Saccharomyces cerevisiae S288C: one gene and its partner. The protein of the gene in region 1 interacts with the protein of each later gene in a pairwise test. Each region holds a gene or a part of one and is shown in the gene's direction. Other genes may lie near its edges.

What was found. Proteins that work in one complex are often made in the same cells at the same time.
Region 2: the proteins of SEN54 (region 1) and SEN2 interact in binary tests that used the Saccharomyces cerevisiae proteins (3 or more experiments, as listed by UniProt).

The regions. Positions count from the first base shown.
Region 1 is NC_001148.4:391,726-403,404, reverse strand, and holds SEN54 (tRNA splicing endonuclease subunit SEN54), read left to right. Parts: upstream 1-5,299; coding exon 5,300-6,703; downstream 6,704-11,679. Other genes in the region: MOT1 (DNA-binding ATPase), read left to right, coding at 1-4,925; BRO1 (Bro1p), read right to left, coding at 6,833-9,367; COPII coat assembly protein SEC16, read right to left, coding at 9,751-11,679. UniProt on the Saccharomyces cerevisiae protein: Non-catalytic subunit of the tRNA-splicing endonuclease complex, a complex responsible for identification and cleavage of the splice sites in pre-tRNA. It cleaves pre-tRNA at the 5' and 3' splice sites to release the intron.
Region 2 is NC_001144.5:342,542-350,180, reverse strand, and holds SEN2 (tRNA splicing endonuclease subunit SEN2), read left to right. Parts: upstream 1-2,000; coding exon 2,001-3,134; downstream 3,135-7,639. Other genes in the region: REA1 (AAA family ATPase midasin), read left to right, coding at 1-1,175; LCL2 (Lcl2p), read right to left, coding at 3,201-3,596; DNA replication initiation factor CDC45, read left to right, coding at 4,240-6,192; APC9 (anaphase promoting complex subunit 9), read left to right, coding at 6,414-7,211; ERG27 (3-keto-steroid reductase), read right to left, coding at 7,328-7,639. UniProt on the Saccharomyces cerevisiae protein: Constitutes one of the two catalytic subunit of the tRNA-splicing endonuclease complex, a complex responsible for identification and cleavage of the splice sites in pre-tRNA. It cleaves pre-tRNA at the 5'- and 3'-splice sites to release the intron.

The DNA.
Region 1 (11,679 bases):
TTTCCAAGACTTTATTAAATGGAAAAAATATGACCAATTCTGCTGCATCGCTAGCCACTTCTCCCACCAGTAACCAGCTAAATCCCAAACTGGAGATTACTGAACAAGCCGATGAAAGTAAACTAATGATAGAATCCACAGTAAGGCCATTGCTAGAACAACACGAAATTGTTGCTGGCCTAGTTTGGCAATTCCAAGGCATTTATGAACTACTTTTAGATAATCTAATGAGCGAAAATTGGGAAATAAGGCATGGAGCTGCGTTGGGTCTTCGAGAATTGGTAAAAAAACATGCTTATGGAGTCAGCAGGGTTAAGGGGAATACCCGAGAGGAGAACAACCTGAGGAATTCTAGAAGCTTAGAAGACTTGGCGTCCCGTCTACTTACAGTATTTGCATTGGATAGATTTGGTGATTATGTTTATGATACAGTTGTGGCCCCTGTACGAGAGTCAGTTGCGCAAACTCTAGCTGCGTTATTAATTCACCTAGACAGTACCTTATCAATTAAAATATTTAATTGTTTAGAACAACTGGTTCTACAAGATCCACTACAAACAGGTCTACCGAACAAAATATGGGAAGCTACCCATGGAGGGCTTTTAGGGATTCGTTACTTCGTCAGCATAAAGACAAATTTCCTATTTGCCCATGGCCTTTTAGAAAACGTTGTCCGTATAGTGCTATATGGTTTAAACCAAAGTGATGATGACGTTCAAAGCGTAGCAGCCTCAATTTTAACCCCAATAACCAGCGAATTTGTCAAATTAAACAACTCTACCATAGAAATTTTGGTGACCACGATATGGTCATTACTAGCTCGTTTAGATGATGATATATCTTCAAGCGTAGGTTCTATAATGGATCTATTGGCAAAGTTGTGCGACCACCAAGAAGTACTAGATATTTTAAAGAACAAGGCTTTAGAGCATCCTTCAGAGTGGTCATTCAAGTCACTGGTACCGAAATTGTATCCCTTTTTACGCCATTCGATTTCTTCTGTGAGGAGGGCTGTTTTGAATCTACTGATTGCATTCTTATCAATAAAGGATGATTCTACTAAAAACTGGTTAAACGGCAAGGTATTCCGTCTAGTTTTTCAGAATATTTTACTGGAGCAAAACCCGGAACTATTGCAACTGTCTTTTGATGTTTATGTTGCGTTATTGGAGCATTATAAAGTTAAGCATACCGAAAAAACTTTAGATCATGTTTTCAGTAAACATTTGCAGCCAATACTACATCTTCTAAATACGCCAGTAGGGGAAAAGGGAAAGAATTATGCCATGGAATCACAATATATTCTAAAGCCTTCCCAGCACTATCAATTACATCCAGAAAAAAAACGTTCTATATCTGAAACCACAACAGATTCTGACATTCCAATACCAAAAAATAATGAACATATCAATATCGATGCACCTATGATTGCTGGAGATATTACTTTGCTAGGATTGGACGTAATATTGAACACTAGAATAATGGGAGCAAAGGCATTTGCTTTGACATTGTCAATGTTTCAAGATTCCACGCTTCAATCCTTCTTCACAAACGTTCTGGTTCGTTGTTTAGAGCTGCCATTCTCAACTCCACGTATGTTGGCAGGCATTATTGTTTCACAGTTTTGCTCCTCGTGGTTACAAAAGCATCCAGAAGGGGAAAAATTACCTTCTTTTGTATCAGAGATTTTCAGTCCTGTGATGAATAAACAGTTACTGAATCGCGATGAATTTCCTGTATTTAGGGAGCTAGTACCTAGCTTAAAAGCTCTGAGGACTCAATGTCAAAGCCTACTGGCTACCTTTGTGGATGTAGGTATGTTACCTCAGTACAAACTACCCAACGTAGCAATTGTGGTTCAAGGCGAAACAGAAGCCGGTCCACATGCGTTTGGTGTTGAAACAGCAGAAAAAGTGTACGGCGAATACTATGATAAAATGTTCAAATCCATGAACAACTCTTACAAACTATTGGCCAAGAAGCCATTAGAAGATTCTAAGCATCGCGTGTTGATGGCAATCAATTCAGCCAAAGAATCCGCAAAACTTCGTACAGGCAGCATTCTCGCTAATTACGCATCATCCATCTTGTTATTTGATGGTCTACCTCTTAAATTAAACCCCATTATCAGGTCGCTAATGGACAGTGTTAAAGAAGAAAGGAATGAAAAGTTACAAACGATGGCCGGAGAATCGGTCGTACATTTGATTCAGCAACTGTTAGAAAATAATAAAGTTAATGTGTCTGGTAAGATAGTCAAAAATCTCTGCGGATTTTTATGCGTTGATACTTCAGAAGTTCCTGATTTCTCCGTAAATGCAGAATATAAAGAAAAAATATTGACGTTAATAAAAGAATCTAATTCGATTGCCGCACAAGATGACATTAATCTCGCAAAGATGTCGGAAGAGGCTCAACTAAAAAGGAAGGGTGGGTTGATTACGTTAAAAATACTATTTGAAGTTCTTGGGCCTTCTATATTACAGAAACTACCTCAGCTTAGATCGATTTTATTTGATTCATTATCTGATCATGAAAATGAGGAAGCAAGTAAAGTTGACAACGAGCAAGGTCAAAAAATAGTCGACTCATTTGGTGTACTAAGAGCTCTATTCCCATTTATGTCTGATTCGCTACGTTCTAGTGAGGTTTTTACCCGTTTCCCTGTTTTATTAACGTTCTTAAGATCAAACTTATCTGTTTTTCGTTATTCAGCTGCAAGAACTTTTGCTGATCTGGCTAAAATTTCCTCCGTGGAGGTAATGGCTTACACCATACGTGAGATTTTGCCTTTAATGAATAGCGCTGGTTCTCTATCCGATCGTCAAGGGTCCACGGAGCTTATTTATCATTTATCACTTTCTATGGAAACCGATGTTCTACCTTACGTCATTTTCTTAATAGTTCCACTTTTGGGTCGCATGAGTGATTCGAACGAAGATGTGAGGAATTTAGCTACAACAACATTTGCTTCTATCATCAAATTAGTTCCTTTAGAAGCTGGTATCGCCGATCCAAAAGGACTCCCAGAAGAACTAGTGGCAAGCAGAGAGAGGGAGCGTGATTTTATCCAACAAATGATGGATCCTTCTAAAGCTAAGCCATTTAAATTACCCATTGCCATCAAGGCGACTTTAAGAAAATATCAGCAAGATGGTGTTAACTGGTTGGCATTCCTGAACAAATATCATCTACATGGAATATTGTGTGACGATATGGGTTTGGGTAAAACATTACAAACCATCTGCATTATCGCAAGCGATCAATATTTGAGGAAGGAAGATTATGAAAAAACGCGTTCTGTTGAAAGTAGAGCCTTACCATCTCTCATAATATGCCCCCCATCTTTAACTGGCCATTGGGAAAACGAGTTTGACCAGTATGCTCCCTTTTTAAAGGTTGTTGTGTATGCCGGTGGCCCAACTGTCAGATTAACTCTGAGACCACAGTTAAGTGATGCTGATATTATTGTAACATCATATGACGTAGCTAGAAATGATCTCGCAGTCCTAAACAAAACTGAATATAATTATTGTGTTTTGGATGAAGGACATATAATTAAAAACTCTCAATCAAAACTTGCTAAGGCTGTTAAAGAAATTACTGCAAACCATAGATTAATTTTAACCGGAACTCCCATCCAAAACAACGTTTTAGAATTGTGGTCTCTGTTTGACTTCTTAATGCCGGGATTTTTGGGAACGGAAAAGATGTTCCAGGAAAGGTTCGCAAAGCCAATCGCTGCGTCAAGAAATAGTAAAACATCATCTAAGGAGCAGGAAGCAGGTGTACTGGCTTTGGAGGCACTACATAAGCAAGTTCTACCTTTCATGCTGAGAAGATTGAAGGAAGACGTTCTATCTGATTTACCACCTAAAATTATTCAGGATTACTACTGTGAATTAGGTGATTTACAAAAACAACTATACATGGATTTTACTAAAAAACAAAAAAATGTAGTTGAGAAAGATATTGAAAATTCTGAGATTGCTGATGGCAAGCAACATATTTTCCAAGCTTTACAATACATGAGAAAATTGTGTAATCATCCAGCTTTGGTCCTTTCACCAAATCACCCGCAATTAGCGCAAGTACAAGACTATTTAAAGCAAACTGGTCTAGATTTACACGATATTATCAACGCTCCAAAACTGAGCGCATTGAGAACATTACTCTTTGAATGTGGTATAGGTGAAGAAGATATCGACAAAAAAGCAAGCCAAGATCAGAATTTTCCTATTCAAAATGTCATATCACAACACAGAGCCCTGATTTTCTGCCAACTAAAAGATATGCTAGACATGGTTGAAAATGACTTGTTTAAAAAGTATATGCCCTCCGTAACCTATATGAGGCTAGATGGAAGCATTGACCCAAGAGACAGACAAAAAGTTGTTCGGAAATTTAACGAAGATCCCTCTATTGATTGCCTACTGTTGACCACCAAGGTCGGAGGGCTGGGTCTGAATTTAACTGGTGCAGACACCGTCATTTTTGTAGAGCATGACTGGAATCCAATGAATGATCTACAGGCAATGGACAGAGCACATAGAATTGGTCAGAAAAAGGTTGTTAATGTTTACAGAATTATTACGAAAGGTACGCTTGAAGAAAAAATCATGGGTTTGCAGAAATTCAAAATGAATATAGCTTCTACAGTTGTTAATCAGCAAAACAGTGGATTAGCATCCATGGATACACATCAGCTGCTTGATCTCTTCGACCCCGATAACGTTACCTCACAGGACAATGAGGAAAAGAATAATGGCGATTCCCAAGCAGCCAAGGGCATGGAAGATATTGCCAACGAGACTGGTTTAACTGGCAAAGCCAAAGAGGCCCTCGGTGAATTGAAAGAGCTATGGGACCCATCTCAATACGAGGAGGAGTATAATTTAGACACCTTCATCAAAACTTTACGATAAACAAATTCTTGCATTGGAATGACGCGTATACAAGGTCATTTTTGTTTTATTTAACGCATTTATGTATTATCAACTTGTAATATAATACGGTATATTAATGGAGTCTTATAGAATTTACGGGTATATTCAAATCAGTATTGATAATGTTTTCATATTCTCTTGTTAAAATTCAGGTTATTAGCTGTCTATTGATTATGGCTTGGACTTTTTTTTTATTTTATTATTTTTCATAGTTAAGTTGCGCCAAAGGGAAACTAGAAACAGTTTAGTCGAACTCTGCAGAGCTTCATCTCAGTATGAAAAATTATTCATTTGAGCTATCGAAACGTTTGGATATAAACATACATAAAACCTCTGTTCTTCTGCCAATTTAAATGCAATTCGCTGGGAAGAAAACTGATCAAGTGACCACATCTAATCCGGGCTTTGAAGAAGAAGAAGAAGAAGAAGAAGAACTACAACAAGATTGGTCGCAACTCGCATCGCTCGTTAGCAAAAATGCTGCTCTTTCACTTCCAAAGAGGGGTGAAAAAGACTATGAACCAGATGGGACTAATTTGCAAGATCTGCTTCTCTATAATGCAAGTAAAGCCATGTTTGATACCATATCAGACTCAATAAGAGGCACAACAGTAAAATCTGAAGTAAGAGGATACTATGTTCCCCATAAACATCAAGCCGTTCTACTTAAACCCAAAGGCAGCTTTATGCAAACGATGGGAAGGGCTGATAGCACAGGCGAACTCTGGCTTGACTTCCATGAGTTTGTTTATTTGGCAGAGAGAGGCACTATTCTTCCTTATTATAGATTAGAAGCAGGCTCTAACAAAAGCTCAAAGCACGAAACAGAGATTTTACTCAGTATGGAGGATTTGTATTCGCTGTTTTCATCGCAACAGGAAATGGACCAATATTTTGTGTTTGCTCATTTAAAAAGGTTGGGTTTTATTCTAAAACCCAGCAATCAAGAAGCAGCAGTCAAGACTTCCTTTTTCCCATTGAAAAAGCAACGAAGTAATTTACAAGCAATCACTTGGAGATTACTTTCATTGTTTAAAATACAAGAGTTATCGCTGTTTAGTGGTTTCTTCTATTCTAAGTGGAATTTTTTTTTTCGTAAATATACGACTTCACCACAGTTATACCAGGGTTTAAATAGGCTTGTTCGTTCCGTGGCTGTACCAAAGAATAAAAAAGAGCTATTGGATGCACAATCTGATAGGGAATTTCAAAAGGTAAAGGATATTCCCTTGACATTTAAAGTATGGAAACCCCATTCTAATTTCAAGAAAAGAGACCCCGGTCTTCCTGATTTCCAAGTTTTCGTTTACAATAAAAATGACGATCTTCAGCATTTTCCTACCTATAAAGAGCTGCGATCTATGTTTTCCTCACTTGATTATAAATTCGAATTTTTAAGCGAAATCGAGGATGATGACGATTGGGAGACAAACTCCTACGTTGAAGATATCCCACGAAAGGAATATATTCATAAGAGGAGCGCGAAATCTCAAACTGAAAAAAGTGAGTCGTCTATGAAAGCAAGTTTTCAAAAAAAAACTGCACAGTCTAGCACGAAAAAGAAGAGAAAGGCGTACCCACCTCACATACAGCAAAATCGTAGATTGAAGACGGGATATCGGAGCTTTATTATCGCTATTATGGATAATGGCCTTATTTCGTTTGTAAAAATGTCCGAGGCTGATTTTGGATCTGAAAGTGTATGGTATACACCTAATACTCAAAAGAAAGTAGATCAAAGATGGAAGAAGCATTAAAGGGACTTTTGCTAAATCGCAGTTTCTTTATCCTTGCAAAACTGGCTTTCAACAAATCCGGTATATATATAATTATCATATTAGTTGAAAAAAAAAAGCTACAATAAAATTAAGAAATAAGAAATGCACCTAACTGCTGTATTTGGAGTACATATTTTCATCAAAAACAGAGGGTCTATTGTAAAAGGACGTAGGATTCTCTTGCAGTTCACGTTCTTCGTTTTCAACTGCTTTACGTCTTCTCAAGTCGTACATATCCTCTTGCGATTGTTTCGGTGGTACTGGTGGGGCTGCCATAGTAGGCGTTGCAGCATATGGCGAAGCTTCATAAGTTCTTGGTGGAATACCGGGTCCTTGAGGTAAATCACTGCCGGCACTTATTTTGAGATTTTGAAATTGGTCCCCTAAATTGAGCCCTTGTCTAGATAATGACTGAAAGGCTGCACTTTTTTGGGGCAGTAATGGAGGACCCCCAACGACAGACGCTTTAGAATCAAGTGGAGGGAGGGGAGGAGCGGGAGAATTAGCTGTTGAATCCTCGGTCTGCTTTGCAACTCTCACTCTTTCTGCTAAGTCTCTACTCATATTGAATAATGAATCATAGAACTCTATTCCTTTTGGCAAGTCGGATGCAAAAATACTGAATGATTTCACTGCTTCTTGCAGCTTATCAAAAAAATTCTTACGATCTTCTAAAAATTTTTCTTCCCCAGAAGATTTATCCTTGAAATTTGAAAGGTGAAAAATTTCATCTAGCTTGGCTTTGATGTCATCTATCATTGAAGATTGTTTGTAAATTGTCGCCTCTATTCTTGTGCTCAAAGGCTCGAATTTCTCCAGTTCCACCTCGAATAAATCTTTGAGCTCAACATCGGATTTCCCCTTATTAATAATTAATAATTTTGTGATATCATCGTTGTTGATTTCGTCTCTTAGTTCAGACAAATTTCTCGAACGTTCCTCTTTCAATGTTCTTAAGTCTTCCGCATGGCCCTTTACTTGTTTTAACAACTCTAATATCTTGTCGTTTTTGGTATCATCGATATCCAATAGGCTAGGTTGTGGAGGCGTATTGCGATTAAATTCGTCAAACTTCTTCCATATTTTTCCATTGTCATTCAATAGATTGATCTCGACAATATGTGGTTTTACGCATGCGAACAATTTTTCGTCTGAGTTTGAAGCAGCTACTAAAGAAGATTTTAGTTTTGTAACATTTTCTTTTTGATCATTGGGTAAGGCAGAAAGGATTTCTAAAATTTGTTTCCTTTTGAAAACAATTTTGTTCATCTGTTCTTCTATATCCCTAAATTCATTTGTTTGGATAAATTTACACCATGTCTGAATTTGGTCCCTCATCAATTGTCCCTGTGTATCCGTATTCGAGAAAATATTTCCGTCACTAAATTGTTTTTCCAAATCACTCAAGAGCCTGGGTAGATTTGTAAATTCGATGAAGGAAGAATATTCCAAATTTGCTGTCTCAGTTTCTTCAACTTGCTTTCTCAACAGCGTCGCTTTTTCTTCTGAGTAAATACTTTCCTTTTCATAGACATCTAGGGGAATAATTCCTCTGTACAAAGAGTCACATTTATTTGCAACATCTTGCATATATGGTTCTAATATCTTCTCCCATGTTGGAGATTTTATTGCATCGAGCGCCTTAATGGAATCAACCTGCACAACGGCTGGAACGCTTTCATGATATATAAAATCGTTATCTTTAATCAACTCCTTTTGTTTCTTTTCTAAAGTTTCTTTAAACCCATCAAAGTCTATAAATTCCACTAACCACGTTTTGAATGGAAGGGATGAAATCAATTGTTGCATAGAAAAATCGAGAAAAGCAATTGCTTCGCCAACTCTATTTTCTTCTTCAAGGTGTAAACCGTGATAATAAGCGCTTAACGATTTGTAGAAATGCAGTTTGCAAGTAACTGTCGTTTTCCATTTGGGTTCACCATAAATGGCCACATCGTCATCTATTTCTTTCATAAAATCGTGACATTTCTGAAAGAGGTTACACGTGGCTCTAGAAAGTTTACTGATTAATGTATATTGCTTGGATGATATTTGATCATTTAATAATTTCAAGACAAACAATTCTTGAGCTTCTGCATGGCAAATATTAGCCAGAAACCTAGTGTTTTCTGACTGAAGATCGACTGAAGGTGAGTTCAAAAAATTTTCTGATAGATATTCAAAACAGGAAAAAGCTTTTGTCAAATTTGCGATTGAGTTTTTGTAGTCCTCATTGATATTCTCCCTCGCAATTTGGGTAAAGATTACAGCAATGTTGAACAAAGTACAAGACTTTTCAAATGCTAACGTATGTTGCGTGTATTTCAATCCTTTCTGGGCCGATGAGTATTCTGCGTCATACCAAGTGAAATCCATTTTTAATCTTGATCCTTTGCTACCCAGGCGAAAATAAAGATGCTCCAAAAATGAGTAATATTTTAGATTTTGTTCCGACAATGAAGAAGGTGCTAGTTCTCCATTTGCATTATTCCTTAAGTGATCCAGTTCTGAAGTAGCTTTCTCATCATAAAATGTTCTCCATTGTGAGGAGCCGTATGATTTCTTGAGATATGAGGAGAGGCCTTTTTTCCAATCCAGCTTCTCTGTGTCTTTTAGCTTTAGGTCAAATAAGTAAGGTTTCATGAGTAGAACCAGTGAGTAATGAACCTAGTAATGCTCCAGTCAGCCGCTTTCTGATTCAAGATTTTTCCACGACAACCCCCTTAGTACTTCTTCGAATTGTAACTGAAGCCTTGCTTGCTTTCTGTTTCTCGGTGATCCTAACCCGGAACCGGCGTCCTGCATTAATCGAAGCAAGAAAATGAGGTATGATAGAATAATATTAGTATAAGCAAAGTTTCAGATCGCATTCATCTGATTTCTTACTGACAACGATGCATAACCTAAATACGGATTCCTGTAATCATTGTTTTAATAAAATTTACTACGGTTTTTATAAGTATATAATATACATCAAGAAAAGGGAAGGCATAAGGGTACCATGAAAGAAAAACGTATTACTATAATTATTGTATGTTATCCATTACATTAACATAGCCTCTCGCTGTTTTCTTCTTCCTTCTCGTACTTGCTGGTTTGGGTCCTCCTGCCAAACTCAATAAATCATCCAAACCGTTTGCCTTTTTGCTAGTCAAGTTTACGCCAGAAATCCTTGATATGGGAGAGGATGGTGATGGAGAATTGTTTGGATTGGGTCCTGTAGGAGAAGGGGATGTTTTGATCGGCAAAGGCTCACCAGTGATTGGATTGTTCGGAATAACTGATGTGGCATGTACTGGAGGTAGGGAATTATTGATGGGGCCTGAACGTGGCTTTGTCTTTGGGCCGCCATCTTTACGTTTCACGATTGGAGGAGGTGGTGGTGCCGAACTTTCAATAATTTTTTGTTTTTCCTCTTCGGTTGCGTCCTTATTCACCCAACGTTTCAATTTTTCATCATAGTATAGTGTGTTTTTATGACCTAGCTTGGCCTTATACACTTTTTTGTCGCCAGTATCTTTCTTCAACCAACCAAACCAACCATTAGACTTGTCATCTATGTCCTTGTTACTTGGTTTTGTTTCCTTTTTCATATTCACATTCTTTTTTTCTTCCTTTCTGTTCTTTGCCTCATCAGTAGACATATTGTCGTCATCGGATTCATCTTCAATAACGTCATTGTATTTATCCGCATCTGATTCCAACGGTTTAAAAGCCCTGTATTGGTTAGTTGAAGCCTTCCTAATAGTAGGTTGAAAAGTGTCTTTCTCGACGACTTCGGCTTTCTTTATTGGGCTGAATCTATTTTCTGAAGCAACATTTCCATTACTTTGTGCCTGGGATGTTGATTCAGATAATTCGAATGAAGCAGTTTCATTTGCTTGGTTGACCAAAGGAAAGTATTGTGATGGATTGGATGCATGTGCTTGGTGAGTTCTTGCATATATAGCAGGCGATGTTTTCAGAATCGTTGATTCATCGCCATCTGCACTAGCGGCAGTTGATTGAGGCACGTATGGTGAGTAGTTCATTTTGGTTGCGTCAGTACTTTTTGGCTTTGGTGGTGCCATATGTTGCTCCACAAGTTTGGATGCTTTATTATTAACATTTCTTGGAACATCTTGCACTTGAGAAATTGGTTTAGCTTCCATTGAAATACTTCCTGCTGGCAAGTATGTGGATTGAACTGTCTCTGAGATACTGTTTTCATCCTGAGTTAGCGGTCTGTTTTCGAGTGACAATCCACCAGTTGATGGTAAATATGCTGATGATGCTGATTTTGAAATGTTTTCTGGCTGCTCCTCGCTACTTCTTTCATTTTCAATGGAGGGAAGTGAATTTTCCATTTTCGATGCATCAGTACCCCGGACCTCCACGTTAGTTTGAAGAATCGGTTGGATATCGTCACTAATAGTTTGTATAGGATTTACTGTAGACGTAGGCTGGTGGTTGGGCTCCATAGGAAGAAGATTCTTCACATCGTTGAAGCCAGGTCCTTCAATATCCATTGTTTCATCTGTAACATCTGCAGAGTCTTTTAATGTATTTTGATCAGCATTGCTATTATCATGTGATGTGTGAGATTCATCTTCAGGCATACTTTTTTGAGAATGTTTGTTACCAAAATCATTGTATCCCGTCTCATGAACTTGCGGGACGACAGGGTCGATAGGCAAAGCTTCCACACTTGGTGAGTACATAAGCGATCCCTGCGAGGAATTAGCTTTAGTAGGTACCCCAATTTTGGGAGGAGGAAGAAATTCTGATCCGGTAGATATGATAGACTCCCTTCTTACTAAGTCAGGACTAGACACATAATTAGACGGCACTGTTCCAAGTTTGGGTGGAGCAGGGAAGTCGGCAAATAAAGATGGCACATTCGAATTAGACTTTTCCATTGGAACGCTATGGTTCTGTCCAAATTGTGGAGTGTAGGCCGTAGACTTTTTCTCTAA
Region 2 (7,639 bases), on another chromosome or scaffold:
ACATGGCCATTGATGATGATAGGGAGGAGCAAGAAGTGGACCAGAAAGAGTTAGTAGAAGACGCCGATGATGAAAAAATGGATATTGATGAAGAAGAGATGCTATCTGATATCGACGCGCATGACGCTAACAATGACGTTGACAGCAAAAAGTCAGGATTCATCGGTAAAAGAAAGAGTGAGGAAGATTTTGAGAACGAACTTTCAAATGAACACTTCTCGGCTGATCAAGAGGATGACAGTGAAATACAATCTTTAATTGAAAACATTGAGGATAATCCACCTGATGCAAGTGCTAGTTTGACACCGGAAAGATCGTTAGAAGAATCCCGTGAATTGTGGCATAAAAGTGAAATTTCGACCGCCGATTTAGTATCACGTCTTGGAGAACAATTAAGACTAATCTTGGAACCTACCTTGGCTACAAAGCTGAAGGGTGATTACAAAACAGGTAAGAGACTGAATATGAAACGGATCATTCCATATATTGCCTCACAATTCCGTAAAGATAAAATCTGGTTGAGAAGAACTAAACCAAGCAAACGTCAGTATCAAATAATGATTGCGCTTGATGATTCTAAGTCTATGAGCGAATCTAAATGCGTTAAACTCGCTTTTGATAGTTTATGCTTGGTCTCCAAGACGTTAACTCAGCTAGAGGCTGGAGGGTTATCTATTGTCAAATTCGGTGAAAATATTAAAGAAGTTCACTCATTTGACCAACAATTTAGTAACGAATCTGGCGCAAGAGCTTTTCAATGGTTTGGTTTCCAAGAAACTAAAACAGACGTTAAGAAACTTGTGGCTGAATCTACTAAAATTTTTGAACGTGCTCGCGCTATGGTACATAATGACCAATGGCAACTAGAAATTGTAATCTCTGATGGTATTTGCGAAGACCATGAAACAATACAAAAACTGGTCCGCCGTGCTAGAGAAAACAAAATTATGCTGGTTTTTGTCATCATAGATGGTATTACTTCTAATGAATCCATCTTAGACATGAGCCAAGTGAACTACATTCCAGATCAGTATGGCAATCCGCAATTAAAGATTACCAAATACTTGGACACATTTCCTTTTGAATTTTATGTTGTTGTACACGATATAAGCGAACTACCCGAAATGCTTTCACTGATTTTGCGTCAATACTTTACAGACCTGGCATCCAGCTAAGTATATCGTGAAAACCAAGAAGAGGAGGTTTACTACACGAATCAAAGGAACAAAAAAATCATGGAACTGAAAAAAAAAAAAAAAAACTACTGTAAAAAACTACTGTAAACTATAAATTATTAATTAGACTGAACGTATACCTATATAAACCTGATATAAAAATGATTCAAGTTATTAGTCCTTTGCATTTTCTGTTAGCAATCCTTTGTCAATTAGCCCTAAGAAATATTATTCCCATATGGGTAACCAACTCTCTTTTTTTTTTTTTTTGAAGGGATCAATACTTCAGTCAGATATTTAAAGAGAAAAATTTTCTTCAAGATGCAAGTTTCCCATTCAGTTCTATAGGAAGTTAAAACAAAAGAGCTGTTTGAGAGCTCGTAGGCTTTGGTTGTTAAGAGAACGGACTAAATAACACCAGGAGGTGTGTCTAGACTTAGTTGAACGAGTTTTTTCTCGTGCTATTATATCTGTTCTTAATACTTCCACTTTATTTTAATGATGATAGCATGATTTATGTTGCTCGAAGTTAATCGATGTGAGCACAATGATTTCTCAAGACTACAACGGTATCTGAATTTTATTTCTTGTCAAAAATGTTTTATAGAAGCCACTCTTGCTATAGATTTATATTGCCACACATAACTTTTTCACGTAAATTTGAAAGAGCTATATTAGCTGGTGCTTTCACTAACATCTCTTTGCTCTAGTATTTCATTTCGGTGCATAAAACATTTGAACTTCCATCGAAATTCAATATGCTAAAACGTTTCATTGTAACACGACGCTGAAAAGACAATAAGTACGAAGGACTCAAGAAGGAGCATGTCTAAAGGGAGGGTCAATCAGAAGCGTTACAAGTATCCTCTTCCAATTCACCCCGTAGATGACCTTCCAGAGTTAATCCTTCATAATCCGTTATCTTGGCTATATTGGGCATACCGCTATTACAAGAGTACGAACGCACTGAACGATAAAGTACATGTAGATTTTATAGGAGATACCACTCTTCACATCACGGTTCAAGATGACAAGCAAATGCTATATCTTTGGAATAATGGATTTTTTGGCACTGGTCAATTTAGCAGGAGTGAGCCTACATGGAAAGCTAGAACAGAGGCCAGACTGGGTCTCAATGATACTCCCCTCCACAATCGGGGAGGAACAAAGAGTAATACTGAAACGGAGATGACTTTAGAGAAGGTCACACAACAGAGGAGATTACAAAGATTAGAGTTCAAGAAAGAACGTGCGAAGTTAGAAAGAGAATTACTAGAATTAAGAAAAAAAGGTGGTCATATCGATGAGGAAAACATCCTCCTTGAGAAACAACGAGAATCATTAAGAAAATTTAAACTAAAACAAACAGAAGACGTGGGCATCGTTGCACAACAGCAAGACATTTCCGAATCAAATTTAAGAGATGAAGACAACAATCTTCTTGATGAGAACGGTGATCTTTTGCCACTAGAGTCACTAGAACTAATGCCAGTGGAAGCTATGTTTTTAACTTTTGCACTTCCTGTTCTTGACATATCTCCCGCGTGCCTGGCAGGGAAACTGTTTCAATTCGATGCCAAATATAAAGATATTCACTCCTTTGTCAGATCATACGTTATATACCATCACTACAGATCACACGGTTGGTGCGTAAGATCTGGTATAAAATTCGGCTGCGATTATTTATTATATAAGAGAGGGCCACCATTTCAACACGCTGAATTTTGTGTTATGGGTCTTGACCACGACGTCTCTAAAGATTATACGTGGTATTCTAGCATAGCCCGTGTTGTGGGCGGCGCAAAGAAGACGTTTGTGTTATGCTACGTGGAGAGACTAATCTCGGAACAGGAGGCGATAGCACTATGGAAATCAAACAACTTTACTAAATTGTTCAATAGTTTTCAAGTTGGTGAAGTATTGTATAAGAGATGGGTTCCCGGAAGAAATAGAGACTAGAATATCAATGAGAAGATAAATCCTTCGTATGTATATATGTATGTGTATGTATTTTTTATACAGATTTCAATGGTTTTTGTAAGCATCTGATACCCATCCACAATCCCTAAACCCCTTGTTCTTTGCTTTGGGGCCCTTGACAGGGTCATCATATATTGCTCTAAACTTTTCATTGTGTGTGGCTGGTTTGGATATGCAAACAAATTTATTATCAGGAAGGACACATTTCAACTGAGATTTAGGGAAGGGACAAGGACAGTCTTTCTGCTGTGCAACGCACGTTAGGGTGTCCGGACACAAATACCCATCACAAGGGTTATTTAAAACTTGATCTTCATATGATTGTTGCTGTTGCTGTTGCTGTTGCTGATGATGACCGAAATTGAAGAAGGCATTCACTCCAGTGCTGCCAAAAATAAACAATGCAAAGATGAGAACGATACTCCAGCGACTTTGACTCATACTACAGTAAAATTTGGTCGTTTTTTGCCTGGCAAACCATGCCTATTTTTCGTCATTAAAGGTCTTCTGAGCTTTCATCAAAATTATCTCTATAATTATAAAGGACAGCTCAGAGCCACACCCAAACATCTGCAAAGGTAAAGGCCATCTTTCATCTCACATTGCCTAACAAGAAAGTCACATTGCAATTGTTTCGAGAAGAAAACATTAATTCAATTACGTGGTTCCCATGCGTCTGTGTTAAGCGTCAATTTATCATTTGACGAACTCGTTGCAACCACAAACAAAGCAAGGGCCGCATTTATCAAAGGAAAACCAACCAAAAGCATAAATAAACGAGATTTTTATTATGAAAAAGCCATGCGAATCCTACTAGAATAAATTCAAAGTGAAGACATTTAGTCAATTCGATCTTCTCTCTCTTGCTTTAACTAGTCGTAAAACCTAATAAGTTTCATTCACGACGCGTATTTTTTTTTCAACATATCATCTAACGCGTTTTAAGAAATTTCAGTAAATAATGAAGCTGTAGTAATGCCAACAATCCATTGTGGCTACTTTATACAACGCACTATAGAGCAATAAAAGTGTAGCAATAAACACTAGAGAGAAGGCACATAATAACAAGAATATACTCTCGCACATGTATTATGGAATCAGCCAGTTTAGCGAAGCCTACAACAAAATCTTAAGGAATTCATCGTCTCATTCATCATGTCAATTGGTCATTTTCGTTTCTTGTCTTAACATCGATGCGCTGTGTGCGACGAAGATGTTGTCACTATTATTCAAAAAACAATTGGTACAATCTCAAATAGTACCGATATTTGGGTACTCTGAATTACGACGCCACTATTCTCAATTGGATGACAATATAAATAGTCTGCTATTAGTAGGGTTTGGAGGCGTTATTGATCTGGAGGCTTTCTTAGAAATCGATCCCCAAGAGTATGTTATCGATACAGATGAAAAGTCGGGGGAACAAAGTTTCAGGAGAGACATCTACGTGTTGGATGCTCATAGACCGTGGAATCTCGACAATATATTTGGATCACAAATCATCCAATGTTTTGACGACGGTACGGTGGATGACACATTAGGCGAACAAAAAGAAGCATACTATAAATTGCTTGAACTGGACGAGGAGAGTGGTGACGATGAGCTCTCAGGTGACGAGAACGATAATAATGGGGGTGACGATGAGGCAACTGATGCCGATGAAGTCACAGACGAGGACGAAGAAGACGAAGATGAGACAATATCTAATAAAAGAGGTAATTCTTCAATAGGACCGAATGATCTCTCAAAAAGAAAGCAACGAAAGAAGCAAATCCATGAATATGAAGGTGTTTTGGAGGAATACTATTCTCAAGGCACAACAGTGGTTAACTCGATATCTGCACAAATCTATTCATTATTGTCTGCTATCGGAGAAACAAATCTTTCAAACCTGTGGTTGAATATACTTGGTACGACCTCGTTAGATATAGCATATGCTCAAGTTTACAATCGATTATACCCCTTATTGCAAGATGAAGTGAAGCGTCTCACACCAAGCAGTAGAAACTCAGTAAAGACCCCTGATACATTGACGTTAAACATCCAACCGGATTACTACCTTTTCTTACTGAGGCATTCTTCATTGTACGACAGTTTTTATTATTCTAACTATGTCAATGCCAAACTATCCCTATGGAATGAAAATGGGAAAAAGAGATTGCATAAGATGTTTGCTAGAATGGGTATACCATTAAGTACTGCACAAGAAACATGGTTATACATGGATCATTCTATTAAGAGAGAACTTGGGATAATATTTGACAAAAATTTGGATCGTTATGGGTTGCAAGATATAATTAGAGATGGGTTTGTTAGAACTCTTGGATATCGTGGGTCCATAAGTGCCAGTGAATTTGTCGAAGCACTAACAGCTCTTTTGGAAGTAGGTAATTCAACTGATAAGGATAGTGTGAAAATAAATAATGACAATAATGACGATACAGATGGAGAGGAAGAAGAAGATAACAGCGCTCAAAAATTGACGAATTTGAGAAAAAGATGGGTTTCGAATTTTTGGCTCAGTTGGGATGCTCTAGATGACAGAAAGGTGGAACTATTAAACCGTGGCATTCAACTAGCACAAGACTTACAGAGAGCAATTTTTAATACCGGGGTTGCTATATTGGAGAAGAAATTAATCAAGCATTTAAGAATTTATAGATTATGCGTCTTACAAGACGGACCCGATTTAGACTTGTACAGAAACCCATTGACGTTATTAAGATTAGGAAATTGGCTCATAGAATGCTGTGCGGAATCTGAAGACAAGCAATTGTTGCCCATGGTGCTTGCCAGCATAGATGAAAATACGGACACTTACTTGGTTGCTGGGTTAACACCTAGGTATCCTCGCGGACTAGACACGATACACACAAAAAAACCTATTTTGAATAATTTCAGCATGGCGTTTCAACAAATAACTGCAGAAACGGATGCTAAAGTGAGAATAGATAATTTTGAAAGTTCCATAATTGAAATACGTCGTGAAGATCTTTCACCATTCCTGGAGAAGCTGACCTTGAGTGGATTGTTATAATCAAATTTATATTATTTAGTCGTACATATATACCAGCATATGAATATAAAATCTAAGCTTTTTCAAGCTTTTAAGTCCAACTTTTCTATAATAATACCATATTTTGTGCGCGGCTCTTGACAAAACAAAAAAAAAAACCTAAATAAAAGGAAATTAAGAACAGGGAACTAGGTTTGGAAGGACAAATTCAGGAAGGAAAGAAATAGCTGTGACAAAGTAAGATGAACCAAAATGGTGATAAGAACGAAGGCAAGTTGTTTCAACTACCGTCATTGCCGCCCTGGAAAACACCAAGGTTCAACAAAGCCAACTTTAACAATTTTACCACACCGCTACGGAAAAGGTCGACAAGGGTAATAAATGATGATTCGATGCCCATAACAGGCGAAGTACTAGAGGAGAGGACTGCAGATGATCTCTATGGGATAAATATGGACGTAGACGAAGTCGACTATCTGAATACTTTGAGCCACATCGAGGAAGAAAAGCAATACGATTATTCACCGTTTTGTGAGCGCAATACGCTAAGGGAAAGTAGAATTGACAGTTTTTTGAAAGCCGAAAGGGCAGCACATTGTCTTGTGTTTCATAAGGTGGGCCATCTAGACGGCATAGACAGCTATCGACCCGATATTGACATCATGTGCGGCGAAGAGGCTAATAAATATGACAGTGCGAATCCGGAGGGCAATGGTTCAATGTTGTTAGAGAGTGTACCTGGATGCAACAAAGAAGACCTGGAGAGGTTATCAAGGCGAGAATTTGTAACAAATTCGAAACCTAATATGAGACGGTTGGATGACATAATAAATCATGAAACGAACGCCTTAAAAAGTTTCTGGAACGACTCAGGATTAGTCAATTCACTCCAAAGTCATCATTTGCATGAAGAGTACCTTCTTTTGCAAGAAGAATTAAAGAATGTGTACAAGATTAAATGCCATGACAGAGTGCCAATAGAAAGTCTACGCGATAAGTGCAGAAGACACTATAGCAACGAGGATAGTTCGTTTCTCTGACAGAGGCAATGCCTTTTTTGCTTCACGTGTATATATATCAGTTGATATGCGTTTTCTATACAGACATACATGTATATACACACATATATATATATACATATGTACGCAGAGATATATTAAATGGGGGTTCTAGTTTCAACAATTTGATCTTTCAGTTTCTCGTCCCATTCCAGTTTCTTCTTCTGTATATAAGCGAAGACATCAGACATTCCAGTAGGGTCTATTTCCTGCGTCTTGATATATGGCATACCATCCCTAGAGGTAGCAGAACCGTATTTTACGTCTTGTTTCTCAAAGTTTGGATTGGCCAATCTAGTTACGTATACTGGGGCATTGGCAGCTTTATAACCATCAATATTGTGCCATGGAGACCCCAACAGCCTGGCCAAATAGAACAAGCATAGCATGCCGAAATAGGTGAAAAAATT